4 linked regions of the Rhinolophus ferrumequinum genome follow. The protein of the gene in region 1 interacts with the protein of each later gene in a biochemical or structural test. Links are inferred from orthologs where the notes say so. Each region holds a gene or a part of one and is shown on either strand. Other genes may lie near its edges.

The links.
Region 2: the proteins of NPPB (region 1) and NPR2 form a complex in vitro, tested with the Homo sapiens proteins (3 studies listed by BioGRID). The link is inferred for Rhinolophus ferrumequinum from reciprocal best matches to the Homo sapiens genes NPPB and NPR2.
Region 3: the proteins of NPPB (region 1) and NPR1 form a complex in vitro, tested with the Homo sapiens proteins (2 studies listed by BioGRID). The link is inferred for Rhinolophus ferrumequinum from reciprocal best matches to the Homo sapiens genes NPPB and NPR1.
Region 4: the proteins of NPPB (region 1) and NPR3 form a complex in vitro, tested with the Homo sapiens proteins (4 studies listed by BioGRID, with this or other methods). The link is inferred for Rhinolophus ferrumequinum from reciprocal best matches to the Homo sapiens genes NPPB and NPR3.

The regions. Positions count from the first base shown.
Region 1 is NC_046292.1:8,039,744-8,046,850, reverse strand, and holds the start of NPPB (natriuretic peptides B), read left to right. Parts: upstream 1-4,092; coding exon 4,093-4,218; intron 4,219-4,455; coding exon 4,456-4,684; intron 4,685-7,107.
Region 2 is NC_046295.1:51,958,865-51,966,670, reverse strand, and holds the start of NPR2 (atrial natriuretic peptide receptor 2), read right to left. Parts: upstream 3,018-7,806; 5' UTR 2,202-3,017; coding exon 1,535-2,201; intron 689-1,534; coding exon 483-688; intron 1-482. UniProt on the Homo sapiens protein: Receptor for the C-type natriuretic peptide NPPC/CNP hormone. Has guanylate cyclase activity upon binding of its ligand. May play a role in the regulation of skeletal growth.
Region 3 is NC_046305.1:52,592,342-52,599,505, forward strand, and holds the start of NPR1 (atrial natriuretic peptide receptor 1), read left to right. Parts: upstream 1-4,152; 5' UTR 4,153-4,999; coding exon 5,000-5,714; intron 5,715-6,400; coding exon 6,401-6,600; intron 6,601-7,000; coding exon 7,001-7,114; intron 7,115-7,164. UniProt on the Homo sapiens protein: Receptor for the atrial natriuretic peptide NPPA/ANP and the brain natriuretic peptide NPPB/BNP which are potent vasoactive hormones playing a key role in cardiovascular homeostasis.
Region 4 is NC_046290.1:21,521,743-21,529,010, forward strand, and holds the start of NPR3 (atrial natriuretic peptide receptor 3), read left to right. Parts: upstream 1-4,259; 5' UTR 4,260-5,174; coding exon 5,175-5,982; intron 5,983-7,268. UniProt on the Homo sapiens protein: Receptor for the natriuretic peptide hormones, binding with similar affinities atrial natriuretic peptide NPPA/ANP, brain natriuretic peptide NPPB/BNP, and C-type natriuretic peptide NPPC/CNP.

The sequences.
Region 1 (7,107 bases):
AGGGTGGGGGTGGGGGGCGGGGACCTGCACCGCAAAGGCGCTGTGTCAGTGGTCATGTCTTGGGGGGGAAGCGGCATGTGATTGCGCCTGGTTTTCTTCCTACGCTGTATGTTCCTCAAAGGGGCGATTTGCCTCTCCCAGTGTGTATTCCTACCTCCCAGCAGAAAGCTTAGTTTTACTTGCGCAGGCCCACTTCATCCTCACAGCAGCCCTGTTCGGTGGACATGAAGAAACATCAGGCGAGACAAATCAACTGCCCGAGGTCACAGAAGTAGCAGAAGGTTGAGGTGGCATTGGATCCAGAGTCTGGACTCCAGACCACTGGGACCCCAGGCCTTCAATGAAATCTTGGTGCATAAATGAAGGGTCTCCTGTCTTTCTCAGTAGCCAGCACCTAGCACCCAGCACCCAGGGGTTGACGTTGGTGAGAACCACCATGCCACTATAGCCACCTTTACTGTGGACTTACTAGTGCCAGGTACTGTATCCAGCATTTACATATACTACATGAGTTTTGTATTGCTGCTAAAACAAATGACCACAAACCTAGTGCCTTAAAGATAACGCACATTTAGGGGCTGCTGGATGGCTCAGTTGGTTAGGGTGCACGCTCTTAACAACAAGGTTGCGGGTTCGATTCCCTCATGGGATGGTGAGCTGCGCCCCCCGCAACTAGACTGAAGGACAACAACCTGGAGCTGATGGGCCCTGGAAAAAACACACTGTTACCCAATAAAAAAAATAAAAAACAAAAAATGATAACACACATTTATTTTCTTATAGTCCTGGAGATCAGAAGTCTGAAATATGTCTCATTGGGCTAAATCCTGTCAGCAGGCAGGCCTGTGTTCCTTCTGGAGGCTCTAGGGAAGAATCCATTTCTTTGCCTTTTTCCAGCTTCTAGAGGCCAACTACATTCCTAGCGTGTGGCCCTTTCTTCCATCCTCAAAACCATCTTCAAAAATGCCAGCAGTGTAGTATCTTCTCTCTTCTCTGACTTGTTTTCATCCTTCCATTTTCTCTCTCTTACCCTGACCCTCCTGTTTCTCTCCTATAAGGACTCCTGTGATTACATTAGGTCCTCCTGGATAATCCAGGATAGTCTCCCCAATTCCAGACCCTTAATTTAATCACACGTGCAAAGCCCCTTTTGCCATGTTAAGTAACACATTGACAGGTTCTGGGGATTAAGACACAGACATATTTGGGGTGCTATTATGCAGCCTGCCACATATACCATCTCATTTAATCCTTAGGTGGCAATACCGTGACATACGTGGTATAATTAACTCCATTTAATAGAAGTGGAAAGTGCATGGCATACAGTAGACACTCAATAAATGTTTGTGGGGCATGATCTGGTGTGAATGCTGAATTGATAATATCCCTCCCCTATGCATTCAGTCTTGTTTCTTCTCTAAAGTCTCCCATATCCTGTCCACTGGGGGAAGGTAGCAACTGTCAGAGAACTTAGCACTTAGTTGTTTCCTTTTGGGTGACTGTTTCCTCAGTGAGATCACATTACAAGGACAAACTCTCACACTCATTCTGAATTCTTTTTCCACACTGCCTTGGGCTTTCGCAGACATCATTTTCTCCTTTTGAGTGCCTACAAGGAGGGAGCATATGTCCATTTTGCAGAAGAGCAAAGTGAGGCTCAGCTTAGATGCAGTCAGTTCTTGATAGGGGCTGGTTGATGACTCTTGTCTAGCCCCAAACCCTTGACCTCATGCCACCCAGCATGAGGAACTCCACACCCTTGGCAGCCCCCAACCCTTTGACTCAGCTCTGCACTTGGCTGGATTTTGTTCTCTCTCACTGCCACTAAGTCTTTGGATATTCTTCCTGTGGTATGTATGTGTATACACACACACACACACACACACACACACACACTGCCCCAGACTCCAGAATCTTCCCAGGATTGGCATCTTTACATGCCCTTCCCCTATCTTCGTCTGCAAAATGCTCAACTTTACCATATGCATGCACAGCCACCAGACTTACATATCCCTCACAGCACAGCTCCCTGTAACTTGAGAGGTGACAACTCATTAATCTAATTTTCCTTTTAGTAGAAACATTTTGCAATCTCCCTGGTAGCGATGAAGAGCTTCAGGTCTGAAATCAGACTGCCTGGGTTGAAATCTAGGCTTCACCACTTGTCAATTGTGTGACCCCAAGAAAGTAAACTAATTCCTCTGAGCTCAGTTTCCTCATCTGAAAAATGAGGAAAAATAACAGTATTTTTCTCACTCCATACCTGGCAGATGCTGATTTTTTTGTTTAAAGATTTTATTGGGGAAGGGGAACAGGACTTTATTGGGGAACAGTGTGTATTTCCAGGCCTTTTTTCCAAGTCAAGTTGTTGTCCTTTCAATCTTAGTTGTGGAGGGTGCCGTTCAGCTTCAAGTTGTTGTCCTTTCAGTCTTAGTTGTAGAGGGCGCAGCTCAGCTCCAGGTCCAGTTGCCGTTTTCTAGTTGCAGGGGAACAGCCCACCATCCCTTGCGGAAGTTGAACCGGCAACCTTGTGGTTGAGAGGACGTATTCCAAGGAACTGAGACATCCGGGAACTCAGCGGCAGCTCAGCTCAAGGTGCTGTGTTCAATTTTAGTTGCAGACAGCGCTGCCCACCATCCCTTGCTGGACTCGAGGAGTTGAACTAGCAACCTTGTGGTTGAGAGCCCACTGGCCCATGTGGGAATCGAACCGGCAGCCTTTGGAGTTAGGAGCATGGAGCTCTAACCGCCTGAGCCACCGGGCCAGCCCCTGATTTTTTTGTTTTAAGGCAAGATTTGCTTAGAGGTCCTAGCTTCTGCCCGTTGTTGTCCCTTCCTCCACTTCTGTCATGGCCAATCTCTCTTCCTGAACAACGCTGCTCCCTCATTCTGCCGCTTGTTAACACAAGTTATCTGGAAGGGGTGGTGACATCGGTCATGCATACTTTCAGGGGATTTAATCTCTGTCTCTTCCCAGGGCCATTGTTTTTTTTTTTTGGAGCCTCATTTGTAATCACAGATGGGAGGTCCAGACCATCTACTGATGGGAATTAGATCATGGATGAGCAGATGAAGAAGGCCTGGGGGAGGGCACTCCTCACACCTCTAGGGCCCCACCAAATAGATAACTATCTTACAGTCATCCTTGCTTTTCCCGTCATATGTTGGCTTGGTGATGGAGAGGAGGTGTTGGCACCTGGAGGAGATTTGATAGAAGGCATTCCTGGATGACTTCATCTCTGGGCCTTGCCTCTCAAAATTCCAGCCAAATCAGCTCTACCCTTTAAGGGATGAAAGTCGGGTCAGCATTCCAGAAAGTCCTTGTCATATCCAGGCTTTTAATCAGGTGACATTGGAGAATTAGCATCCTAGTGCAGGGGTTGTGGGAGGGTGGGGTGGGGTCTTGCCCCTGCCCCACACTTGTCTTTCTGGCTAGACCTGTGTTGAAGGGAGCAAGACCTTTTGCGTTGAGTTTGCTCAGGGAGATCAGAACCACGGACAGCGGTCAGGGCACAGGGGAGACCCACCGCCTGGCAGGGTGCAAAGAGCCAGGAGTGCGGAGTTTACAGGCTGGTGAGAGAATTTGCGAAGGGAGGGAAGACGCACTGCGGTGGTGGGAGCTGGCTGAGGCTGTTCTCACTCTGCGTCACCCCACCCGCCCCGCACTTGCATCGGGCCTCCATCAGCTGGAGTTTTTCTGTCCCTCTTCAGGAATGGTTGGGGGTGGGGAGGAAAAAGAAAGCGCTGCTCTAAGGCCTATGGGATTTTTGCAGGAGACGAGGGACGCGTTGGCGTTTCCCGCGCGCTCCCGCCTCCTGCCAGGCCCATTTCTACACAAGGCCTGCTCTTCCCAGGCTCTATCCCAAGGAGTACAGGTCGCAGGCGCTGAAGGGTGCATTCCCCCGCCCTGACCTCAGCCGGAGCGAATACGGGCGATAAATCTAGATAACCCTGGAGGGCAGGGCCAGCCAGGATCCCGGGCCCAGGATAAAAGGCTGTGGGCACCCAAGGATCCAGAAGAGCACCCGTGGGCTGCGGGGAGGTGAGCCGTGAACCCAGACGCAGCAGCAGCAACCTCCGCCGCTCCAGCCACATGGACCCCCAGATGGCGCTACCCCGGGCGCTCCTGCTTCTCCTGCTCTTGCACCTCTCACCGCTAGGAGGTCTTTCCCACCCTGTGGGTGGTCCAGGCCCTACCATGGAACTGTCCACAGTACAGGTGAGCACTGCTAGACTGCATAAACCCCTCGGGCCTGGAGGGCGAGGCAGCAGCAGTGAACGGGTCTCCGCCGACTGTCACAAGCGGTCTTCACCCTCCCTCGGGAATCAGAAAGTGGTGAGACGGGGAGCCAGGCAGTTGGTTCACTAGGGAGCCATCAAGGGTGGTTGGGCTCAGGTTTGGGCTCCCAAACTCAGGCATCCCCACCCACCGCAAAAACTACTGGACAATCTGCAGGACGAGGTTTCAGAGCAGCAGGAGGAGCAGATGGCCCCAAAGCTCCACCAGCAGGACAGTGGTTCTGTAGAAGACTGGGAGGCCAAACAGGCAAATTCCACTGGCAGCCTTGGGTCCAGTGACTTCCAGACCCAGCAGAGACAACAAGGCAGCAAGACGATGCCTGCCTCCAGCTGCTTTGGGCGGAAGATGGATCGCATCAACACCGCCAGTCGCCTGGGCTGCAATGGTGAGCTCCCTCCCTGCCACCTTGGCCACACCCACCCTCATTCCTGGGGGTTCCACCATGAGAGTGCCTTCTGGGTTTGTTGTCTCTGGGGACCACACTCTGAGAAAGGGACACCTGGACATTACCCCCTCTTGCTGACCGTTCTCAGGGCCAAGGAGTGCCTTTCTGGAAATATTCAATGTTACCACGCCCACGAGAGCCGCCCACATTCAATCCTCCTCCTGTACCTGTTGTCAAAAGGTCCAAATTGCTTTAAGGTGCCATCCAGCATGCCTGGCAGCTCTTCCTGGAAGCAGAAAGTGCCCTAGACATTTTCCTTCTTCTTCTTTTTTTTTTTTTTTAAGATTTTATTGGGTAAGGGGGACAGGACTTTATTGGGGAACAGTGTGTACTTCCAGGACTTTTTCCAGTCAAGTTGTTGTGCTTTCAATCTTAGTTGTGGAGGGCGCAGCTCAGCTCCAGGTCGAGTTGCCGCTGTTAGTTGCAGGGGCTGCAGCCCACCATCCCTCGGATGGGAGTCGAACCGGCAACCTTGTGGTTGAGAGGATGCGCTCCAACCAACTGAGCCATCCGGCCACCCAGGAGCTGAGCGGCAGCTCATTGACTTCATTCTAGTTGCGGAGGGCGCAGCTCGCTGGCCCATGTGGGAATCGAACTGGCAGCCCGGTTGCCCAGAGCTCACACTCTAACCAACTGAGCCACCCATCTGCCCCCACATTTTCCTTCTGGTTTCCCATTAACTGTCTATGGCTGCAAAAGCAGAGGGCAGGATCATCAGGGTGGCCATAATCCTATTGACAGATGAGGAAACTGAGGCACTGAGAGATGAATTATTGCAAATTTTCAAATATCTAGATCAGCCGAGGTTCGGGGGCTGGGGCAGGGGTGGCACACAGTGAGGGGAAGCTCAGAGCCTGCCTCTCTCTCCCTCTCTTACACCATCATCACCCTCTCTCTCCCCCCCCACAGTGTTGGAGGGTTAAGAGGAAATCCTGGCGGCAGACATTTGCACTTGATTCGTCATCAACTCTGGTCTCCTTTGAAGCAACTCCTACTTACTGCTTTTTTTTTTTTATATTTATTTGATTGTTTTATGTAATCCAGTTTTCACCTTTGAGCACAAATTTTCCGTGGTGAGATAAAGTCAACATTAAAGCTTTTTCTTTTGAAATAGTTTTGTCTTAGTGCAGTCAATATAATGCATCATTTCAAAAAAGAAACCCCAAACCCTGTGTTTTTTTGGAGGTCCCAAAAGTGTCTTAACGACGGGGTAGGGACATGGTCTCAAGGGCTGGTCAAACAAGGGTGGAGTGGGGAGGGGGCTTTCTTTTTTTTTTTTAATGGGTTTTTCATGTTCTGAAATGTCTAGAAATACCTCAGGCATTTAAGACACTTCCCAGAAACTGCTTTTCAAAGCCCGGCAGTTTCTCCCTGAGAGAGGAATGGTCCCTGATGTATCTGTGCAACGTGAGTGTGTGTGTCAGTGTTTGCCCGACTCCTCTTTCCTCTGCCTGCAATTCCATTAGAATTCCACTCTTCCTGGTGTTGTTTCCAGAAGGTCTAAGCTAAAATCTCAGAGACTGGGGGCAGTGTGTGTGTGCGCACGCGTGAGTGTACACACACACACACACACACACACATACGCGCGCGCACATACACCACTTGCTCATTTGCATTCCTGAAGGGGGGCGGGGAGTGAGCCCCTTATCCTGCCCCAAACCTCAGCTTCAAGCCTTCAATCCCTGATGTCATCCTGAAAGGAGCTTTCAAACCCTGAGTTTGATGGTATCATCATTTCCCAAGCCCATAAGATTAGAAGTGTCTGGCGAGAAGCCCAGCGGTTCAGGGCGCCCCTTCCCTGGGGCCATGCAGCATCACTTCCTCCCGCCCTGAGAGAGAAGGCCCTCATTCTAAGGTAGAAAAGGAGACAGGAACCAGAATCCTACTGTGTTGCTGTAATCAGCAGGGAGTCCTGGTAGGGATCCTGCCCTGTCCTCTGTGGGCCCCTCACCCTGCATCCTTCTGATCAACTACTGAGCCTGTCCCTGCTTTTCAGGGTCCCAGGCCTCTGCTCCCTTCATCATGTCTTTTATGGTCCAACTCAGCTAAAGGAGACAGGATTATTCTTATCCCCGTTTTATGGATGTGAGAACCGAGACCCAGAAAAAAATGAAGCATCCTACCTGAGACCATGCGGCCACTCAATGCCATCACTGGGATTTGAGTGCAGATCCGAGAGACTCTGAAGCCTGTGCCGGCTCCCTGAGCTCCTAGCGTTGAACTGCACTCTCACAGCCTTTCTGCTCTTCTCAGCAATGTTTCTTTGAGGGAGGGAGGGGGGAACCCGAAGCTGTTGGTCTTTGTGCTGTTTCTCATTTGAACCCAGTGTCCATGAGAGGTTATGGGTACCTAAATGAGATCAA
Region 2 (7,806 bases), on another chromosome or scaffold:
CAGGCTGCCGGGACCCTCTCTTGCATTCTGACTAGGAATATGACATCTATCTTTAAAGTCACAATAGAGCCGCACTTGCTTTCTAAAAGCCTTTCCTAACCCCAGCCACACTGACTCTCTGTCCTCTGAACACTAGTCCTCACTGTCTGTTCCAGGACACATAATCATATCCCTTCGTGCACTTGTATATAATTGTACCACATCATGCCTCACCTCGCCAGATCTTTTCGTGTACTTTCCTCCCCCACACTATAGTCTACTGCTGGCACTGAGGAAAGTCATTGTTCTGGGATCTTGGGAGGGAGCCTTGGCAGGCACACTGAGAAAGAGTCACAAAGGTGGGGACGTAAGAAAAAATGATACTCAGCTTGAAAAGCCTCTGTTCATTTCACTCCTGCAGCTCACAATTCCTGCCCTGTTCCTGGGGTTTCTGTGGGGGCTTGTGAGTCCCCTTCCTCCCTCAAGTCTGGCTCAAATGATACCTGAAAGGCTTCTCTGAGGGCCTGGGCCTGTTCCCAGGTGCGATTGTCCTGCCAGGGTCGGCCTGTAGAGCGCGTGGGGCCTGCACGGAGACTCTCCCCAAAGACATCCAGGTAAAAGAAGACATAATCCCCATTGGTCAGGTTCTCCCTCTGGGCTTGAAGCAGGATCTCATGCAGCATCTCCAGAGGGCCGCAGATATACACAACTGGGAGCAGGTGTACAACACAGGGCATCCTGAGAACGGATCCAGGTCCCCAAACAGCCCCCTCTCTGACACCATCAGTATTTCCATCTTTAGCAAGGCAGAGAGGGCCCTCACCTACCCACCACCCAACAGATGCTCCCGAGCCCTCCCTCTTGGAGTCTACGTCATAAGTACCCTGGGGCCACGCAGACCATCTGGCAGAAGTCAGAGTCTGACTCCAGACCCCAGAGAAAGGGAGCTATCAGCCTGAAGCCCTCCTCTTCCCAGAGCCCTGCCTGCTGCTCCCCACCCAGCCCTCCTCACTCCCCCACTCTGCCCTGCCTTTCCCTACACTCAAAGGCACTGGATGCTCAGAATTTCTCTATGTGAGCTTTACCTGCCTTTCCCAACCCAAGCTGCTGAACCCCAAAGCCCATTTATACAGTCATTATTACTTTAGGGACATTATAGACCCACACTATAAGGGTCTTGGTACCCCAATCTGAGAAATCTCTGCTCACAGTCACACATTTTGGAGCGGCCATTAACCACATCACTACCCCAGGGCACTCACACTGCTCCCCAAATTCAATGCCCCCCCAGTCCTACATTCTCCCGACACAAGCTTCACCCCCAGGCTATCTTCCTCCTTGTTTACATCTGCCCCTGACGACCGCGAGCTCCCCTGATATAATGCCTTAGCCCTCACATAAGTGCTCTGTCCACATGTGCTTCTGATACTTCTGGATCCCAACCACCACGTGCAGCTCCTCAAGGCCAGGCTCCATCGACAGCGTCTCAGTGCTGACCTCCAGGGAGACAGCGACCCTCCTCCCCTGACCCTAAAATAGCCGGGGCCACACTTACTGCGCCCGTTGGCCCGGATGAAGTGGGTGGCCTGCTCAGGGCCCCCTGGCTCTCGGGCATACACCTGGTGCTGCACACTGAGGTTGCTGCCCTGCAGGGCCTCAAAGACGCCCTCGATGGTGAAGTAGTGAGGCCGGTCGTCTGTGCGAGCGTCCAGATACAGCAAGGCAGCACGGGCGGTCCAATTGAAGTGCCCATGTAATGTCACTACAAACTCACCCAGCTTGGGAGCAGAGGGGCCAGTGCGCACCAGGGTACGGTAATGCTCATTCTTAGCCGCAAAACCAGAGGCCACAGCACCCGCAGTCAGCAGGGGAAGGCGCCAATGAGACGCAAAGCGGGCCACCGACGCAGCAGGATACACACAACCTGGGCCCAACAGAAGGTCAGGGTCATGGTACAGCTTGAGGTCCACAGCGCGCAGCGGTGCCAGGTACTCAGAGCAGGCGCCATCTAGTTCAGAGCTGACAAACCGCAGGTCCACAGGCAGTGCCCGGCCCAGCGCCTCCACAGCTAGTGCCACAGCAGGACCCACCCGTGGCCAGGCCCAGGCATAGCTCAGGTTGTGTTCTGGCAGCACCACTGCCAGTGTCAGATTCCGCGCCAACGGAGGACGCACCCCACCTGCCAGGGCTGCCACCAACAGCAGGAGTGATGGCAGTGCCATGGGGAGAAAGCAGAAGCCCCACCAGCCCCAGATCCTGGGGCCACTCTGGCCTACCTGGGAGGCACAAGCACCACCCAGCCTGGAACCTGGGGAAGTCGGTCAGGAAGAGAAGTGAGGATAAGCTAGGTAGACTGAGATAGGAAAGTGGTAGGGTGGGACAGGAGGAGATGGGAGGAAGGCCCAGGGGGTGGGTAAGGAGTGGGTCTGCCTGCCTTGGGTAAGGACTGAGCACTAAGAGCCGGGTGGCAGGAGGAGGGAGGGACCAAAGGGGCCTGCGGCTGGGATGGGGACAGTGAGAGGTGAAGTAGACTGATGAACTTAAAGCTGAGAAGGCAAAAGGGATCCGAGGCTGGGATGGGGTGGGGGTGGGGGGAGGCTGGTACAAAGAAAAGGCCTGGGGGCTACCTCACAGCTGAAGGGGCTAGGAGGGCAGAGAGCGGCGAAAAGGACCAAGGGGTAAGGTGGAAGGGGGCCCGCACCGCGGAAGGACTGGGACCATGGGCAGGCAGGGAGCGAAGCGAGGCCTGGGCCGGACGGTAGGGAAAGGCACGGGTAAATCTCCCTGTGAAGGCTTCTCCTGAAGCTCCTGCTTGGACTAACGGGCCCAGGGCGCTGGTCCCATCCGGAGCTGCGGCGGCCCCGCCCGTGTCCCAGCTCCTCTGCTCAGCTCCTCCTGGGCCCGGGCTGCCGGCGCTGCCCGGCGCTTCCTCCCGCCCCCCGCCTGGGCCCCCGCGCGCGCCGCTCGTCCAGGTCAGGTCGCCGCGGCAGGGCCCGTCTCCGCTCGCTGCGCGGGCGGCGGCCGCCGAGTGTGACTCCTCGGGCAGGCCGCCTGCCCCCGCCCCGCGCCTCCCCCGCCCCCTCCCCGCAGCCCCTCCTCCTCCCTCTCCCGGCCCCACCCTCCGGCGCCTGCAGTCTCCCCCCACCCCCCACACGGGCGCCTAGGGACCTCCCAGGTCTCCAACCCACCCGGTGACAACTCAGGGGCGCCGCACGGGGCCTCTCAGGCCGGCGAGGTTTCTGGGCGTCCTCTCGCTTTAAGGGCCTACCCCTGCCTCCCCCAAGACCATGGGCCACTCCTCTGCTCTCTATCCATCTCACTTTCCTATCAGCCCAGGGCCTCTCTTGTTAGGGTCCTCTCTCTTAACTCCGCTGAGTCCCTCAAATACTCCAGTCTCCAGGAAGCAGTCAGGAATCCCCAAATATTTGGAATCTTCACCAGTCCTCCACCTAGTAAACCTTACCACTCTTCTCATTGCCAGGAGCCTCTCCTTCACCATGCCTGCTCGCTGGAACACTGGCCCCTCCAGGACCAAGGGGTGTCAGTGATCGAGTTTTCCTGAGTCCTTACAAAGCCCAAGTCTCCTTTTCCCTTAGGACGCAAAGCTCCAATCTCCTTCTTCCTGTGCCCATGCCCCCGGCGCGCCCTCCCATGTCCTCAGAGGCCCACCGTAGCCCACTGGGCTTCCACCACACCATCTGCTCCAGGGCAGGAGCCTGTGACAGCCTCTTCTCTCTCGTCTCCCCACTCACCCCACACAGCACAGCCTAGCACCTGATAAAAGCTGGTGGACCGGCTATGCAGAACATTCTCCCAGCAATTAAAGCCCATTGTATCCCCCTTGGGTTCCTCCCCACTCCCAAGCTTCTAACCTAGAAGGCTCACCCCAGATACCCCATATCTGGATTGCGGATCTGATCCTGAGGAACAGCTTGTGAGGGATGACATCATGGTTGCTGGGTGGGATTACTATGGGACCTTGGGGAGTTTTTCTCAATTGTCATAAACCCATTCTCCTCCCCCTGCCGAGAGCCACAGTTCGTCTCCCCCCTTCAAGCCACTTCAGAAATCACAGTGCCAAGAAGCTACATGAGCGCCTGAGTAGAGGGAGGAGAGGGGTGGGAGTGCGAGGAGAGAGGAGGGGGCGTAGTTTCTCTGAGATGAAGGCGACACCTAGTGGTTTTGGGGAAAATTTTAAGGACAATGCTATTTTATTCTTAGGTACGGTGTTTCTTTATTGAACACTGGCTTCCTTGCACATGCGTTAGGGGTGAATACAATAAAAGCTGAATGATGTAGCCCTTACTTTGAGGAGCGTACAGATGGAATCCCTGAGGGTGCCGAGACCAAAGGCAAATCCCCCAGTAACATATCTTGCCCCAAGCCCCAAGAAATGGAAGTAAAACAGCTCCTTTTTTGATCACGAAGGGATGGTAACTCCAGTTCCAGCTTCCAACATTGGTGGTGAAAAGGAATTTCATTTTATCTGAGCAAGGAAAAGAAGGATATAATAGACAAAAGGGTGATGGGAAACCTGAGAAAAGACGTGGCTCTAACTTTAGACTGACCCAACCAAATAATACTTTTTAAGTAACTACATACAGCTTAATGAGAGAATCAAACCCAAAATGATGCAATCTCTGCCAGAATCACAGAATTTCAGGGCTAGGAGTTGTTTTATAAAGATATTGTTCAATCCCCTCATTTAAAGATAATTGAAACTGAGTCCTAGAGGGGGAAGTCACATAGCTTCCTCAGCTGACTCTCTCCCCCAACCCTACTTGGCTTTTAATAGTAGAACAGAGACTTTCCTGGTCTCTAAGGTGGGGCTCTGTATAGCTATTCTGCTGACTCATGGAACTCACCATATGAAGCCATGCTTACAGGACAATGGCCACCAAAGACCCAGAGGAGTTTCTCTGGACACCTGCAGACCCGAGTGAGGACCAGTCAGCACTGTTGCCCAGACTCCCAAACAAATTTAAGTGCAAGGTATGTCATTTCAAACATCTTTCCCCTTCTCTCTCTCTTCCAACCGGCCACTGATACTAGAAAGTGGGAAAGGGTGGAGAAATAAAAGTTAATCGCTTAATGTGCCAAAGGCAGTGAAAGGCTTTTGTTTTGTTTCTTCATTTGGGGGTTGTGGTGAAAATTTTAGATAAATGAGAAATTTGGTTATCTACATGTTCCCATTATCCAAGAGATCACTGCTGTCACTGATGTGGACAATCAGATTTGGGCTGTGTTTGGTGACTCCATGCAACTCATGCAAAGCCTGGGAAATCTAAAGATCCTGCTGGCCTGAGCAGCACCAAGCTAGGATCCACCTTTCTCTCCATAGGGTTGGTAATGCCTCCTTCACACAGCCGATCTATAATTTCTTCTGGAACAGGACCAACCCATGCACCTTATTTCTGATCCAGAGCTAAACTGCAGAACATCAGATCAGCTAGATGCTGGAAGCTGCTGTGGTTTCCAAACTACCTTGTTCCTTAGTGGAAAGAAATTCTGAGCCCCGTCACACTTAGGCCAAAGGACCTTCAAGACCCCTGCCAAGTTCTGGCACTGCCGTGGGATTCTGGCTCCCACTAATCTCCATGGCAAGCTTTGATATCCCAAACTGACTTTCAGTTCAGCACTGAGCAGTTTTATAACCTACCTCATTTCACACCTAACTCTGAACCCTCAGGTGTGCACTACACCAGACCATGCCTCGGGGCTGTAAGAAGCTGGAGAAACAAAACACCTTCCAGCCTTCTCCATGCTTGACTAACCTGACTTGCAGAGCAAGGCCCTGATTATGTGTGATTGTCTTCTGCGCACAAGACACACGGGTCCAAGAGAACCTGCCAACAGAAGGCAGAGAACAGGCATGGAAAGTAAGATAAAATAAGGCAGAAACGGTACACTTCAACTGTAACATTTCAATCAGGGAGAGGAGGAGGCAGTGAAACGTATTGAAGGCAAACAAAGACATTACTAAAATTCTGCATTATTTCTTTTAGCCTCAGTGAGGGAGAGATAGAATCCTGAAAACAGGTCAAACCCCCATTATTGCTCATGTGGCCCACTTCCCCCCATACAGCAGCACACAGTATGGTTCTATACCTTGGGTCCAGTTCACCTTCTCATAATAGTCAATATCCTTTAAGAGCTGCTGTTATTGTTTAAAGGGTCAAGGGTTTTTACTTTGAATTCACACATCGCTTTCTTTTATGAATTAAAAAGTTTTTTAAGTTAAAATATTTTCAGATCAGATCTCAGCTTCTAATTTACCTGTCTAGATAAGTATTCTATAAGTTGAACTGGTTCCATACTCTGAGGGGCAGAAATACCAGTTTTGTGAAAAGATAGTCCAGAAGAGTAGTTTTTTCCATGAAAAATCTTTCATAGAGAGCCAGTGATCCCTAAGAAGGAATTTAAGAATTATCAGGAGAATTTATGTTCAAGATGATTCAAGCTCTACCTAGGTGAACCCATTTTCACCTGTCTGCTCCATCCAAGCCTGGACTAGCACTTCTGTGAGTGTCCCGGAAGGTCCCAGTGGCTTCGATGGCTCTTTCATACTTGCCCTGTTTTCCCACGTACATATACTGCTTCCCTCTGTTCCTATTTCCACCCATCACCATAATTACCAGTAATTACTTACCACCCCTTGGGAGCATCTGATTGCATAAAGTCTCCAATATAATATTCTCTGTTAATATTTCCCTCTCCACTCCACTTAAAATTCTACTTTCTTCACAAAATCTTTCACTGAAAAAAAAAAGTGGCATATGTTCCCTCGCGTTTTAAGTCCTGCTCAATTTACAAAAATCTCACATAAAAAAAAGCAGAGGGAGCATGATCACATTAGCTTCTAGAGAACTGAAGTGTATTTATCACTCTTTTAATCTTCTGTTCTGCTTAGAATTTTCTAGAGAAGCCAAAGACTGGAAGAGGAGGAGAAATCTGAAGCAAGACTTGACAAAACCGTACTCTTTTGCATGGCTGTAGTATGTCATGAACAACAGAACAGTTAACCTGACATTCAATGTAGGGCTGTGAAGACCAGTGAAGAGACTCCTGGAGAAATTCAAGCATGAAATGCTAAGTGCCTGGTCTAGGATGATGGAATAGTAGTGGAAAGAGAGAAACAAATGTGAGATGATTTGAAGGAAGAAACAACAGGACTTGCTGGCAGACTGAACCTACAGGATAAACAAGAAAGAGTCAAAGATTACTCTAAGGCAAGGGTCACAGAGGCAAAAGCCAAGCAGAAAATGTAAATGCGAGAAGCAGCTGGATGCAGCCCTTGCTCCATCTAAAGTGGATGCTGCCACTCTGGGATGGAGCCCAGAGTTGCCAGTTCCAACATTTTTTTCCTTTGGACTGTTTCAACAGCCTCAGTGACAAGTCTCTGGGCCTCCAGTCTCACCTCCCTCCAATCCACCCTCTACAATGTGTTCAGATGCCAAAGTGGCCTTTTGAAATGAAAACTTAATTATGCCACTTCCCTGCTTAAAATCCTTAAATGGTTCCCCATGGAAGCTATGTTTTTCAAGCTGTTATTTTTAGCAGTAAAACCCTTTCTCCAAACAAAAATTTAAGCATAAAACAGAAAGAGGCCCAGCTGCTGCAGATGAGGTAGCAATGGTGGGCCCAGAAACAGGCACCCCCTGCCCTTAGCACCTCCTGAGCCCCTGAACCTCTGGGTGGTACCCCTCAAACAGGGGGAGAACAGAAAGATTTTCCAAGGGGTATGTATGCACAGGTGGTTTCAAGAGAATCCCTTTCCAGATCCTTCCCTCCCATATGTACTCTTCCCTAAAACTAATTTGCCTAAGA
Region 3 (7,164 bases), on another chromosome or scaffold:
AAGAAAAGGGGGCAGTATATTGACTGAATCAGAGCGGGGAAAACACTGATGGTGAGGGACTAGAAGCAAAACTGAGGCAGCTTTGGAAACAGGTCTCAGAAAAAGAGCAGGGAAGTAGTAAGGACAGAAGGGCCAGACCCATCCCCGTTGCCCAGTTTCCCCCATCTCTCTTCTTCCCTCTCTACAAACTGACGGATTTCACCCTTTTAGGAGGTTTTAACAGCCACATATACGTATATACTGTATTTGCATTTAAATCAATCATATTACTATGTGCGTTGTCCCTCCTGTAATCTTTCTCTTCCCTACTTGCCTCCTTCTTTTGCACTATTACCTCCCAGTCTCTGTTAATTGAAAGTTACACACTCTTTTTCTACTCTTTTAGTTGGTTACCCTAAAAATTACAACGTGCATCCTTAATTTAGCAAAGTCTAATTTTATGTAATACTTTTACCGTCTTCGTGAGAAATGCAGGAATAATTTAATTCTATTTACCACCATTACTCCCTCCAGAATTATATACTATCGCTGTTGTGTAATTCTTTTAAGTACTTTATTGATGTATAATTTACTACAACAAAATGCACAGATCTTAAGCCTACAGCTCGAGAAACTTTGAGTGATGTAGCCCGTCCATGTAACCACCACCAGATCAACATAAAGAAATTTTTATCCCTTCAGAAAGTTGGTTCATACCCCTTTGCCCCGCCCACAGAGACAATCACTGTTCCGATTTCTATTATCATAGATGAGTTTTGTCTGTTCTGGACCTTCATTTAAATAGACTCAGAGTGTTTGTACTCTTTTCTGCCTCGCTTCTTTTGCTTGACACGTTTCAAGATTCTTCCAGGGTTTTGCATTTATCAGCAATTAATTTTTTTGTTTATGAGTAGCATAAATACACCATAGTTTGTTTGTCCTTTCTCCTCTTGATGAATTCAGGACCTCCAACTGGCTGAGACACAGGCAAACACATTTGGGTTGTTTCCAGTTTGAGGCCATTATGAATAAAGCTGCTATGAACATTTGTGTACAAGATTCTTGTGGTCAGATGCATTCCACATCTTGGTAGGTGTAAGATATATGTGCACAGAATTTAAATTATATATTTTCAATCTCACAAGGCATTAACGCTTATTAGTTAAATTTGTGGTCCTTTAGATTTACCGTTGTTAACGTTCTTGATTCTTTCCTGCAACTCCAACCATTCACCATTCATCTGGACTGATCCTTCTGCTGGAGAATAAGTACCCCTCTGCTGGTAGCTAATTTTCTTGGTTGTGGTTTGTCTGAACGTCTTTGTGTCACCTTTGTTTTTGAAGGACATTTTTTCTCTGGGTATCGGTTTCTAGATGGGACTAATTTTCTTTCAGCACATTTACAATATTCTTTTACTGTCTATGGCTTCCATTTTTACTGTGAAAAAAACGTTGTCAATCTAATGGCTGCACCTTTGAGGGTACTCAATACGTTTTACTATTTTAAAGGCTTTATTTTTTATTTAATTTCCCGCACTTTCACTCCGATGGATCTAAATAGGGAATTGTTTTTCATCTTATTTGAGGTTTGTTGAACTTGAATCTGTGGCTTGATGTAGTTCACTCACTTTTTAAGTTTCTCAGCCATTATCTGTTTACATATGACTTCTATCCTATTATTTCCCTCTGTCCTGGGCTCCAAATAAAGGTGTTTCAGACTTTCTCATGCTATCCTCTATGCCTCTAACTCTCTCGTATGTTTTTCATGCCTTTTTATCCACGCTTCATTCTGGGTAATTTCTTCTGTCCTTCCTTCTGATTCATTACTTGATCCTCAGTGGAGTCTAACTTGCTGTGAAACCCATCAATTGGTTCTGAATTTTGGTTTTTGAATATTTTGGAGCTGGATTTTCTACCTACTCTTAGGTTTTCCCTAGGAATGCAGCCTTCCAGGAACCTAACCCCAAATAGTACAGTGGTTTACCAGGGTTCTCACCCTTAGGGACATTTGGACTCCAACTTTTGTCTCACTTGCCCCACACAGCCTTTTTTCCGCCACCGATGCGGACCAGCAAATGACCCCAGGGTAAAAGCAGTCCCACTGCTGGTCTCACCTCTCTATTTTCCTGTCCTTTTCTGCTCTCACACCAATAATTCCTCACTGTTTTACTAGTGCTTTGATTTTTAAAAGATTTCATCCAACATTTTAGTTGTCTTCAGCTCAGGGATTAGACACATTATTTGGTCCACTATTGCTGATGGAGGAGCTCAATTACTAAATTAGATTTCTAGTCCAGTCTTTTCTTCTGAGCTCCAGCTCCACTAATTCAAGGACCTATTGGACACCTCCACCTGGGTATCTACAGGCACCTCAAACCCCATAAACTGAAATTATTATAATCTCCCCAAAACCTGCTTCTTCAGCTTTTCAACGAATGGGTCGATGTCACCTAGACTTCAGTTATTTGTATACTGTCTTCTCTTCCTGAAGTCCAGTTGATCTAGTTACAAAACATCTCCCTATAGTCAATAATACAGTCTTATGCGTTTAGACATTTAAGAGGGTAGACCTCATGTTAAGTGTTCTTCACACGCACGCACACACACACACACACACACACACACACAAAGACACAAGGAAACTTTTGGAAGTGGTGGGTATGTTTATTACCTAGACACTGTGGTGATGGTTTCATGGGTGTGTAAATATGTCCAAACTCCTCAAATTGTATATACATTAAATATGTACAGTTTATTGTGTTATTATATCTCAATAAAACTGTTTTCTTTAAAAAAAAAAATATATATATATATATATATCCCAATCTCCTACTCCTATCTACGTCTATGGAATCTGGAGCCCCACTAACAGAAAGAACAAAGACATCTCCTCCCAGGTAATTCCAACATCTTACATCCTACATCAGGGTTGTAAACATAAACTGCAGCCAGTAATGACAATGAGTAAACAGGGTGGCTAAGAACCGTGAGAAACTAAACATCTCAAGGAGGTAAGGGGTACTTGGTTCCAGCTGACGATTCAGGGAGAGATGCAGGACCTACCTTACCAGCTCTGCAATATTCCAAGACAAGCCAGAACTCCAAATATTCATGTACCATATGCTGGCTTTTAAGCGTGGGCAACTAAATTAAATATGAATATATATGTATATATATGTATGTATATATGTATATGTGTGTGTGTGTGTGTATATATATATATGAGAATGCAAGACAAACAACACATGCCCGCCATCTGAAGTTGGTCCATGGGCTACCGTTTGCTCTAGACCATAATTATATTCAAAATTCTCCTAATATTCCATATATAGAAAACGTACTTCAGTATTCTGCTCTCTCTACACAAAATACCTTTCTCATTTTTCTACCCTTGTTTAATTATTTCTCTTTAGAGGTTTTCCTGGCTCCGATGCAGGCAAAATAATGCTCACCTGGGCCTCTATGCAATGTATCCCATCTCTCTGTTTTGGTGCTTAACGATATTACATTATGGCTATTTATCCCAAATAGAGCTCCTCAAAGGTACGACTACATATATTTCTCTCTTTTGCCCTCAGCATCTAGCTGGTGCTTAACCCGTACGAGGTCCCCTGGAACTGTTTGCAAAACCAAGGAAGTTTGGGGACCTTGGGTCCTGCCCAGGCGCAGGTTTGGAGAGGTTGGCGGCAAAATACTGTCAATGACGCCTGTTGACCGTTAGAGGGCAGACGGATTCCACAGCGGTCCCGCCCTGCGGCCCAGCGGTCAAGTGCCCCCAAAACTTCTCCCCAAATTACGCCTCTCCTGGTCATTTTCAACACCATCTCCCACCGCCACCACGAACCCCATTTTAACAATCCTTCTCAACACAAAACACGCACACAGTCACATTGCCGGAGCGGCCCTGAGGTCACACCTCTTCCCCCCTCCAGCCACCTTCAAGCTCTCCCTCCCTTGCCCACAACCATTTGGGAACTAAAGAGTTAACTTCATCCTTCCACCGGGTCCTTTTTCTCCGCGGATGCGCTCCCTGGGGCAGGCGGGGTGGGGTGGGGCGATCCTAGATGGACTGGATCCCTGGGTCCCAGGGCTCCCCTACTTGAACGTCTTTTCCAGAAACCCGTCACCCTCCTGTCCCACCCCCATGCACACACCTCCACACACTCACACCTTGTCCTGCCGAGAGATCCCAAACCAACAGTCTTTCTCTCTTCCCCCGACGGAACCAGGTGAGAAAGGACAAGATGTGGGCGCAAGACGCCCCCGGTGGCTCCCAAACTCTTCTCTTTTCAGTCCTCCTTCCCATCCCGGCGGGGGGCCCCGGTCGGCGAGGGCCGCCTCTCTGAGGGGGGCAGACACTGGGCGGCCCAGGAGCGGGGAGAGAGTCTCAGGGGGCAGCGCGCGGGCTGTGGGCAGGGGAGAGCCCGCCACTTGGGGGCAGGAAGGAAAGAGTTAAAGATCCGGGATTGGCTCTGCTGTCACCGTTTCTGGGAGGGGAAGCGGCCGGGAGGGAGGGTTCGGAGCTTGGCTCGGGTCCTCCCCAGTTCCCCCCGGGCCGCCGGAGACTTGGGCCGGCCGGACGCCGCTTCTGGCTCACTCGCTGGGGCAGCGCTCCCGCACTCGCGACGCTCACTCCCCTTTCCCTCCCTCGCGCCCTCTCCCACCTTCTCCCCGGAGCGCGAGCGAGCGCTCTCTCCTTCTCCCTCCTAACACACGCACACGCACACGTTCTCGCTCACTCGGGTCCCCTGGGCTGCCGCGCTCCCCTCCCCGCGCCCACCTGCTCCGCAGAGCCCTCGGCGCACCCCGCCCGCGCGCGCCCAGCCGGGGTCCGCCCGCCCTCCCTCCCGCTGGCCGCTGGCGCTCCGGGCCGTGACCGTCGCAGCTGGAGTGGACAGCGGGTTCCCGGGTGGGCGCCCCCGCCCCGCTCCGCCCCCCTCCCACCGGGGCGCGCCCTGAGCCCGAGCGCACGGCGGAGGCCATGGTGGGAGCGCCTGCCTGCCCCGGCGCCCGCTGAGGCCATGCCGCACCCCGGGGAGCCCACCGGCGCCCGCCGGCGCCTGCCGCTGCTTCTGCCGCCGCTGCTGTTACTGCTCCCGGGCAGCCACGCGGGCAACCTGACGGTGGCCGTGCTGCTGCCGCTGGTCAACACTTCGTATCCGTGGTCGTGGGCGCGCGTGGGCCCGGCCGTGGAACTGGCCCTGGCCGGGGTGAAGGCTCGGCCCGACTTGCTGCCGGGCTGGACGGTCCGCACGGTGCTGGGCAGCAGCGAGGACGCGCGGGGCGTCTGCTCCGACACCGCCGCGCCGCTCACCGCCGTGGATCTCAAGTTTGAGCACCAGCCGGCGGTGTTCCTGGGCCCCGGCTGCGTGTACGCCGCCGCCCCGGTCGGGCGCTTCACCGCGCACTGGCGGGTGCCGCTGCTGACGGCCGGCGCCCCGGCGCAGGGCTTCGGGGCCAAGGACGAGTACGCGCTCACCACCCGCGCCGGGCCCACCTACGCCAAGCTGGGCGACTGCGTGGCGACGCTGCACCGACGGCTGGGCTGGGAGCACCGGGCGCTCGTGCTCTACGGCTACCGGCCGGGCGACGACCAGCCCTGCTTCTTCGTCGTGGAGGGGCTGTTCTTGCGCCTCCGCAGCCACCTCAACATCACGGTGGAACACATGGAGTTCGCCGAGAGCGACCTCGACCACTACGCCAAGCTGCTGCAGACCGTGCAGCGCAAGGGCCGAGGTGACAGCGCCCCCGGGGCCGCCGCTTCGCCCCAGCGCCTCCAACCCTCTCTTCTCCCGCCTGCCGCCTCCTCCTCCTCCTCGCGGCTCCTCACTCGGGTCTCAGCCTCCTCGGCCCGTTCCACCTCTGAGTGGCTGTTTCCCTCTCTTTCTCCAGTGCCCTCTTCTCGTTCCCACGCTCCTGTCTCTCTTCACCTCCCCTACTGTCCCACCTCCTGCCCACCGGTTCTTCCGGAGTTAACGGGAGCGGGGGAATGCCTGCTGCCACCCTGGCACTTAGTAGGTCCCGGCTTAGTTCCCGTCCCTTTTTTCTCGCCCACTTTCTGTCTCTTCCCAACGGCCTCCTCCCCTCCTCCATCTCTTCCTCCCCTTACTCCCACACACCCGCTTCTCCGCAGTCCCCTCTCCAGCTGGCCCTCCTCTCCCTCCTCCACCCCTCCCGACCCCACCATCCCCACCTTCGGCTCTGCTGTTCCCACTGTCCCGATCTCTGCTCCTTCTCGCCTCCCACCTCCGCCTCCCACCCATCGCCATCTTTCTCCTGCCACAGCCTGGACTGAGGCAGAAGTTCCACTGAACTACCCCAGGGTCTCAGGACGTCCCCCTGGAAGCCCCAGCTTCTCTACCGGAAGAGTCCCCCTGCCCCGGGGCCCTAGGCGGCTGTCTGACTGCCCTCTTCCTCCCCAGTTATCTACGTCTGCAGCTCCCCAGATGCCTTCAGAACCCTGATGCTCATGGCGGTGGAAGCCGGCCTGAGGGGGGGCGACTACGTTTTCTTCCACCTGGACCTCTTCGGGCAAAGCCTGCGAGGTGCACATGGCCGTGACCCCCACAGGCCTTGGGAGAGAGGGGATGGGCAGGATGTCAGAGCCCACCAGGCCTTTCAGGTGAGTGTCCAGGTGGGAAGCGAGGCTGTGGGTCTCCCGGCTGGTGGCACGTAGTGTCAGGGCAGTGGGTGCCTCAGTGTCTAAAAGGATCCCAAAAAAAGAGGTTCTTGACGCTCCAGGGAGTTGGATGACGAAGGGCAGGGGCCCGGGGACTCAGAGCCAGGAGGCGGAAAAGAGTTGGGAATGGCCTTGAGGTGGAAGGAGGTGCAAGTCCCGCAGACTGACAGGACTCGGGGCAGCCGTCCCATTGGATTTCCTGCTTTAGGGCAGGCGTCACCTCACGGGGCGGGCGTAGGGTCCAGTGTGACCTTGAGCTAAGCCGAGATGCAGCTCTGGGAGGTGGGTCCTGGGAGAACAGGTCAGCCCCCAGCTCACCCGTCCCCACTGACCCCTTCCTCAGGCTGCCAAAATCATTACGTATAAAGAGCCAGACAATCCTGAGTACGTGCACTTCCTGCAGCAGCTAAAGCATGTGGCCCGGGAGCAGTTTAACTTCACCGTGGAGGACGGCCTGGTAGGAGGGAGTTCTGGGACCCTGCAGTGGACCTCCAGCCCCTTCTCCAT
Region 4 (7,268 bases), on another chromosome or scaffold:
AGAGCTGCCATTTGTTAATTTCCTACTGTATTCGAAGCACTTTGCGTCTATTGTTTCTGATTCTTACTCCTGCAACATCAGGATGATATCATTACCTCCATGTTAGGTGCGAGGACATTGAGGAAAGTGAGAAAACTGAAGGTCCAGTAGGTTAGGTGATCACTAACCTCCAGCCATGTTTGTGAGGCTTCTAAATGCCTGCTGTTTCCACGGGATACAACTCAGAAGACTGGATGCTAACCAAGACGTATCTCTCTGTACGTGGAAAGAAAATTGAGTGTGATTAGGAATTCTGTGGAAACTCAGATGGGAGAGGAAAATGTTGCTGAGGCTTGGCCCATTAGTAAAGGCTTAGGAACAAAGTAGGATCCAAGAGAGTAGGATCCAATGGCTGTGCATTTTGCCCTGAGGAAATTTTCTAAAACTCCACGTGCTTTCTCAAATCCTTTCTGGAATAATGCAATGTACAACTAAATAAACCAATTAAATATAGTCAGTATTGGTGTGCATGAAGTTGAGGCACATCCACTGTTTTTGTGAATGTAATAATCTACATTAAATAACTTGCCTATAACTCAGCAATATGAGAATTCTTCATGTGGCTTGCAAATCCTAGAAAACCCATGCCAGTACTCACGTTAAATCACAGACCAGCTCTGTATTTTCTGGAAGTCTTTATAATGTCATTTTGTCTCAGAAGACAAAGAAATCTCCAAAGAAATAAAGAAAGTTTGTAGTTGATGGAAACCGTAAGAGGACAGTAATACAGAAACAAATTTGACCAGAAGGAGATAAATCTGTCAGAGCTGTGGTTTCAAAAGCATTCCTCAAGGCCACATTTAACTGTAGTTGCTGATGAAATTGAATAATAAATTTCAATAGAAAAAATATATAATCACTATTATTTATAGTGCTGGCAGAAAAAAAATCGTAGATTTGTATAATAGAAGAAAAAGGGTCAATTAACAGTCTCTGCTAAGGAAAGCTATGACCTAGAGGCCAAGTTTTAATTTTTTGGCATTCATTGATTTTCCTCCCACATCTTGAATGGTTCCCTCAAAAAACATCATCTATAGGTTAAAAATAAAATCTCAACACTCAATGAGTTACAGACATATTCCTGAATTAAGTGTAATATTCTTTCATCTTTTCTGCCTCTAGGGGGAAGTGTGTTTTCAACAATTCGAATATACAGAAGGTATTTTCTTTGTGGGCTACCGCTTCACAGGGACATTATTCAGCGTGACTTCAGGGCTGGCTTAACCAAGAAGAGATTCTCTTTGAAAACTGGGAAGGGCTCTGTTTTAGAGGTTGCCTTCAGGATTCTGAGGAAGGACACACAGGCTATTAAAATTGGTGGAGAAAACTTCTCTCTGATAGCATTTCTGACACATTTCAAAGAACTGCATGTTCAGTAAGGTTCCCTATATAATGCTGTCTTTCCTGGTAGCAGGAGAATAGATACAGACACTGATTTCATTTCGCAGAGCTGAAAACACATAGTTGAATACTTTAAGGAAAACTTGCCAACTTGTTTAGCAACTTAAAAAGAACATGATTTGTGGATATTGATGAAACATTTCTAAATCCTATAAAGTCTCTTAGATTCCGTCACATCATGTTTAGGGCTAGCACTGTCCTTAGGCTTTCATTTGGCTAATTCTTTTTTTTTATTTTTTTATTTTGCAGCATTTCCTTTTAGCTTTCTTTTGTTTTCATTCAGCAATTGTGACCTGAAAGAATGCACTCAGAGAAGGTTGGCAATTCTTTTGAGTGTTAAAAAAAGTGCTCCTTGTCTCTCTTTTTTTTCCATGTCAGTGTTTTACAGAATTAAAAAGAACAATATTTAAAAATTGAGTCTAAGGGCTGAATTATTTCACTTTCCCCCCCTTCTTTCTGGGTTTATCTTCATGATTAGAATGCTGCAAAAATTCTATGATAAATTGTTAGTAATCTTATTGTGCTGCATATCCTCAAAACTTAGCTACACACAAAGAAAAATTTTGACATAAAGAATGTTATTGCTTAATGTGAAAGTTAGCTTTGTTCCCTCTTTCACATGGTGTAATGGGTGGTACATGCTTTATTTCTAATCCAACTCCACATGAAAATATTCTCAGGGGATGAAGAGGTATTTAAGTGTGCCATTTATATTCTTTGGGCCTCAGTTCTTCATCTGGAGAGTGCCAGGTGTCAGGCTGGACAACTTCTAAAGTCCTTTCCAGCCCTAAGATTGGAGAACTCCATGACATTCATAATATTTACACAAACTTTCAGCTGCTTGGGAAAAATCGAATTTGATGGAAAGTAAACAAACTGGTAACATTAAAATCCGTATACTTATATTACTGGGGGGGGGTGTTTCTATACTTTCGTGCCTATTTTCATTTGAAAAACTTTTAAAAATCCTAATTTCTGCTCTTTGGAAAAATTTAAGGGCTTTTCTGGTTCTGCTGTCCAGTTCGGGGGCTCTTCCGGTCCACAGCCTGGTTTGTTGGTACTTTTGAATGACAAGCTGGAAGTTGAGAGCTCTGATCCAAAGGCCACCGAGAGGCTGAAACTCACCCAAACGTAAACTTACTGCCCGGCGCGTGACCCTCGGCGCCGCTGGGCAGCGCCTGGGAGAGGAGAGGCGTTCACGCCCGGTGCCACTGAAACTCCAGACTCTCCGAATAAGCCCACGCTACACAGTGTGCAGGATCATATCGCCATTGGCTGGTGTTCCCCAGACACACGGCATAGCGAACGGTAATAGGAAACCCCGGTTCCTTGACGTTTCCTGGCAACCGGTTTGGAAATCCATTAAAACCCTCGGATTAAGCCGTTGTTCTCTTTCTTCCTTCCTTCTTTCTTTCTGTTTCTCTTCCTCCCTCCCTCCTTTCCTTCCCAGGAGTTCAGGGAGGATTTAATTGCTGTGTAAACCCTAAATCTCAGTATCCAGTGTGTGTGGATTACCCGATTTGTGGAATTAAACCTTGTACAGATGCTTCTTTTCCTACTGGTTAGCAGCTCTAATTAAACAAATGAAAAGTTCTCCCAAGAGTTAGAAGCTCCTACATGAAGAGTCAGGGATCATAGTGCATAACCTGAAATCTAAATGACCCAGAGGATGAAACGTTACCCGTACACTATTGGTGCCAGAAAGAGCGGTAAGGAGGGTGCTATTAAGGCGGCGAGCGCTGCTGCCTCAAGCCGCCACATCTCCGGAAACCCCAATTTGCATTTTCACGCTCACAAACGAGAGCGATTGCTCTTTCGGGCCTCGGCATTAAAACAAACAAAACAAAACAAAACAAAACAAAACACGCAGAGCCTGGAGCCGCGGCACTCTGCATACCAGTTGGCTGCAAGTTTCTGCCGAAAGAGGGCGTTAGTCTAAGACTAATAGAAATGTGTGGACACGACGCCCAGTCAAATGGAAGACCGTTTTAAAACATTTCCAATTTATTTTAATTTGCGGGACTTAAGTGCCAGAATTCTCCCGTCCGATGTAGCACGTTCACATCGCAAATGACCTGGATGTGCTACCACGTTCAGAGGGTCAAGTTCCATTCGGACCGGCTTTGCAGCGCCGCGGAATCCCGCGAGGCTCCTCTGGCCACGAACTTCCCTGCGGCCTTTTCCATCCTTGTCTCCACTGCTGTTGTGGCTGTGACCAGTGGCGGGACTGGATCTCCCAGGCAGGACCCTTTTCGGCATTGCAGGACTCAGAGCACAGCGTCTCGCGCTCCCCCAGGGAGAAGCGGTTGGATTTCCAAGCGCTCGGGTTGGAGCGGAGAGCGCGCCTGCACCCAGGGGACCCTTGGGGTAACGAAATGGGGAGAAGGTCTCTTTATTTAGTTACCTGGCTTAGCAAACAACCCCCGAGGACGCCTTGGAGATGCTTCTCAAGCTTTTTGCCACTTCCAGAAGCCAGACCATTCGCTTGTCTTTGGGAGCAACAAGTTTCGCTTTCCTGCTCGCTGTGCGGCGGCAGAGGGTCTGTGCGCGGGATCCCTGGGATCCCAGCGACGCTGCGACTCCGGCGCGAACCTGCGCTGCCCAGCGGGAGGGGGGCCTGTGCTGGGATGCGGAAGGAGGGGTGCGACTAACGCCCGGGCTAGTAGGGCGTTTCAGGTCCGCGATCAAGCCGCCTGCACTGGGTCCTTAGCCCCAGTTCCCTTACCTAGCGCCAGGGGACAGGGAAGGTCGGGTGCTCACCCGGAGTTGGCGCGTCATGAGGGAATGTGGCCGGAGTGAGAAAGAGGTGAGAGCGAGCGGGACCTACGGATTTTTGCACCGAAACGACCAGTTTCTAGGACCACTCCTTCCTCTAATGCTGCTGTTTATTTTTGCACGTTGTGTTTGTGCCTGCGCGCATTGCTTTACTTTCAAAAGCATTTCTTTTTTTAGAGCCCAGGGCTGGAGAGAGCGCTGCTTCGTGCGGGGCCAGGGAGAGGCGGGGACCCCGGAGGAGGTGCGGTGCGGTGGGGGCTCCTGCGGGTGCGGACGTGGGCGACTGTGGCTTTAAGGAAGAGGTTGAGAGTTGGAGGGGAGTGGGGGTTAGGGAAAGGGGAGTGGTGGGAAGGGAAGGGGTGCGGGGAGGAGCCCTGATGTAAGAATGTTAATGAGAGGCTCCCCCAGCCCAGCCCCCACTACTCCCCACCCCCACCTTCCCCACCCGCTGGAAATACAAGGCCGGCCTCGGCGCGCCTTGTGTGGTAACACGCTCCGCCGCTGCCACGCTATTTAAACGCTGGTTATGGATCCAGGAACCGGCGCGAATCAATGAGATCAAACGCGAAGCAGATGCACCGTCAATTACAAGCACTTGGACAAGTCTAACTTTTTTTTTCTTTTACAAATATGCTTTCAAAAGCGACCTTAGCGACGCCCAAATAGAAGCCACTCTAAGCAAAATAGTATATATGAAGGGAGGGCGAATATATATATTTATGATAAGTATATATATATATGTATAAATATATTACAGGCGTACAGGTTTACACCCGGTGAACTTTTTCTTCTTTTTCTTTCTTTTTTTTCTTTTTTTTTTTTTTAAACGAGTGACATTGCAAAGAAGGACACTTCCTCTCTATCTTTTGGCGAGTCAGTGAAGGGGGTATTCTGTTTTCTTAGAGCGCCCAAGGGGGCGCAGGGACCTCGGAGAGAAGAGTGGGGAGGAAAGAGGAAGGATGGGTGGGGGGCAGAGGGCGAGTCGGCAGCGAGGGCCGGCGCTTTCCTGCGGCACGATGCTGTCCTTGCTCACTTTCTCCGCGTTCGTCCTGCTCAGCTGGGTGTCGGTAGCCGGCAGCACGGGTGGCGGTGGCAGCGGGGGCGAGGGCCTGGGCGGCGAGCGCCGGGAGAGAGAGGCGCTGCCGCCACAGAAGATCGAGGTACTGGTGCTATTGCCCCAGGACGACTCGTACCTGTTCTCCCTGGCCCGGGTGCGGCCGGCCATCGAATACGCGCTGCGCAGCATTGAGGGCAACCGGACCGGGCAGCGTCTTCTGCTACCCGGCACTCGCTTCCAGGTGGCCTATGAAGATTCAGACTGCGGTAACCGTGCACTCTTCAGCCTGGTGGACCGCGTGGCAGCGGCGCGGGGCGCCAAGCCGGACCTCATCCTGGGGCCGGTGTGCGAGTACGCGGCGGCGCCAGTGGCCCGGCTGGCGTCGCACTGGGACCTGCCCATGCTGTCCGCCGGGGCACTGGCCGCCGGCTTCCAGCACAAGGACACGGAGTACTCGCACCTCACGCGCGTATCCCCCGCGTACGCCAAGATGGGCGAGATGATGCTCGCCTTGTTCCGCCACCACCAGTGGAGCCGCGCCACGCTGCTTTACAGCGACGACAAGCTGGAGCGGAACTGCTACTTCACCCTCGAGGGCGTCCACGAAGTCTTCCAGGAGGAGGGTTTGCACACGTCCGCCTACAGCTTCGATGAGACCAAAGACTTAGACGTGGACGACATCGTGCGCTACATCCAGGCCAGTGAGCGAGGTGAGCAACGCGCGCCCCAGGCCCCCGCGGTAGCCCAACCACTCCCCCCCGCCGGCTTTCCCTACACACCCATCCGCTCCTCTGCGGACCCCACTGTCAGCTGCGGCACTAAGGACTAGGGGAGGGCGCGCGTTCGGGAACGAGCTGTCTGGCAGCTACAACCTTTAATCAGCACCCATCGCGGTCGCGGGGTGTACGTAGAGGGTCCGGGGAAGGTGGTGGAACCTGGGGGAGGGGCGTCTGAGCCCGCAGCTCCGGCGTGCCCAGGTCCGACAGGTGCTGTCAAACTGCCTAGGTTTTTCCTTCCTCCCTTCCCCTTCGCCAGCGCCTGGCTGGTGATTAGGGGCGTACTCCCGGTGCCTTACTGCAACCAGGGTTTGAAAAACATGCAGAGGCCAAAAGAACTTGTCACCCAGTTCTTTTCGGACCTGCACCCCTTCCTGTGCTGAAGCGTCTGAAGACGCTCTAAAGCCCGCACGCCGCCACATGGCTAGCTCAGGTCTCCGGGTTTCCCCGCTGCTCCTTCCACAGACCCCAGCTTTCTTTTAAAAGCTCATTTATCGCCCTTCTCATTCCTTCCAACCCCTTATAAACGAGCTTATGTGGTTTCCACCAAAAATGCCTCTCTGTGTCTGGACTCAGGCGACACTCACTTCCCCCGGCGCGTTGGGCATCGCGGTCTCTAAAGCACCCGCAGCGAGGCTTTGCGGGCGCGCACGCTGGAGAAGTGAGCGCCGAACCTCCTTTCCCTGTGTTTCCCGCCCCCGCCCCCACCGTTTTCTTCGCGGGTCTGTGGGGGTTTGAATAAGCACCAAACTGGACGAAGAGCTCAAGACTGAGGATGGTGGCTATGGCTACAGGGAGCGGGTGGTCGCGGATACGCAGTCGCGAAAGCCCCCAATGTGGCTCATTTTACAGTAGAGTACAGCGGAAAGGCTGGCTGAGGTCCCAGCATAACGCATTTCCCTCCCTCCTGGTGTCAGGTTTGGGGTGCACAACGCTGGGGGAATCCCGCCTCTGGTCCCGCTAGGCGCGCACGCGCCTGGATTCTTAGTGGAGCAATCCCAGTAAAGCTCTCCACGACCCAACGCCGGGAGACCCAAGGGGAGAGGGGCTGAGCCAGGCGCCAGGCTAGTCCACGACTTGGTACCGCCCGGCACCTGAGACAGCGCAACCGGAGGCTGGAGGTCTCAGGAACAGGTGAGAGTGGGCCGAGGAGCCCTAGAGAATGGGGCTGCGGCCACCCCCTTCCCAATGTGGCCATCTCCGACTCATAGCGAACGCAC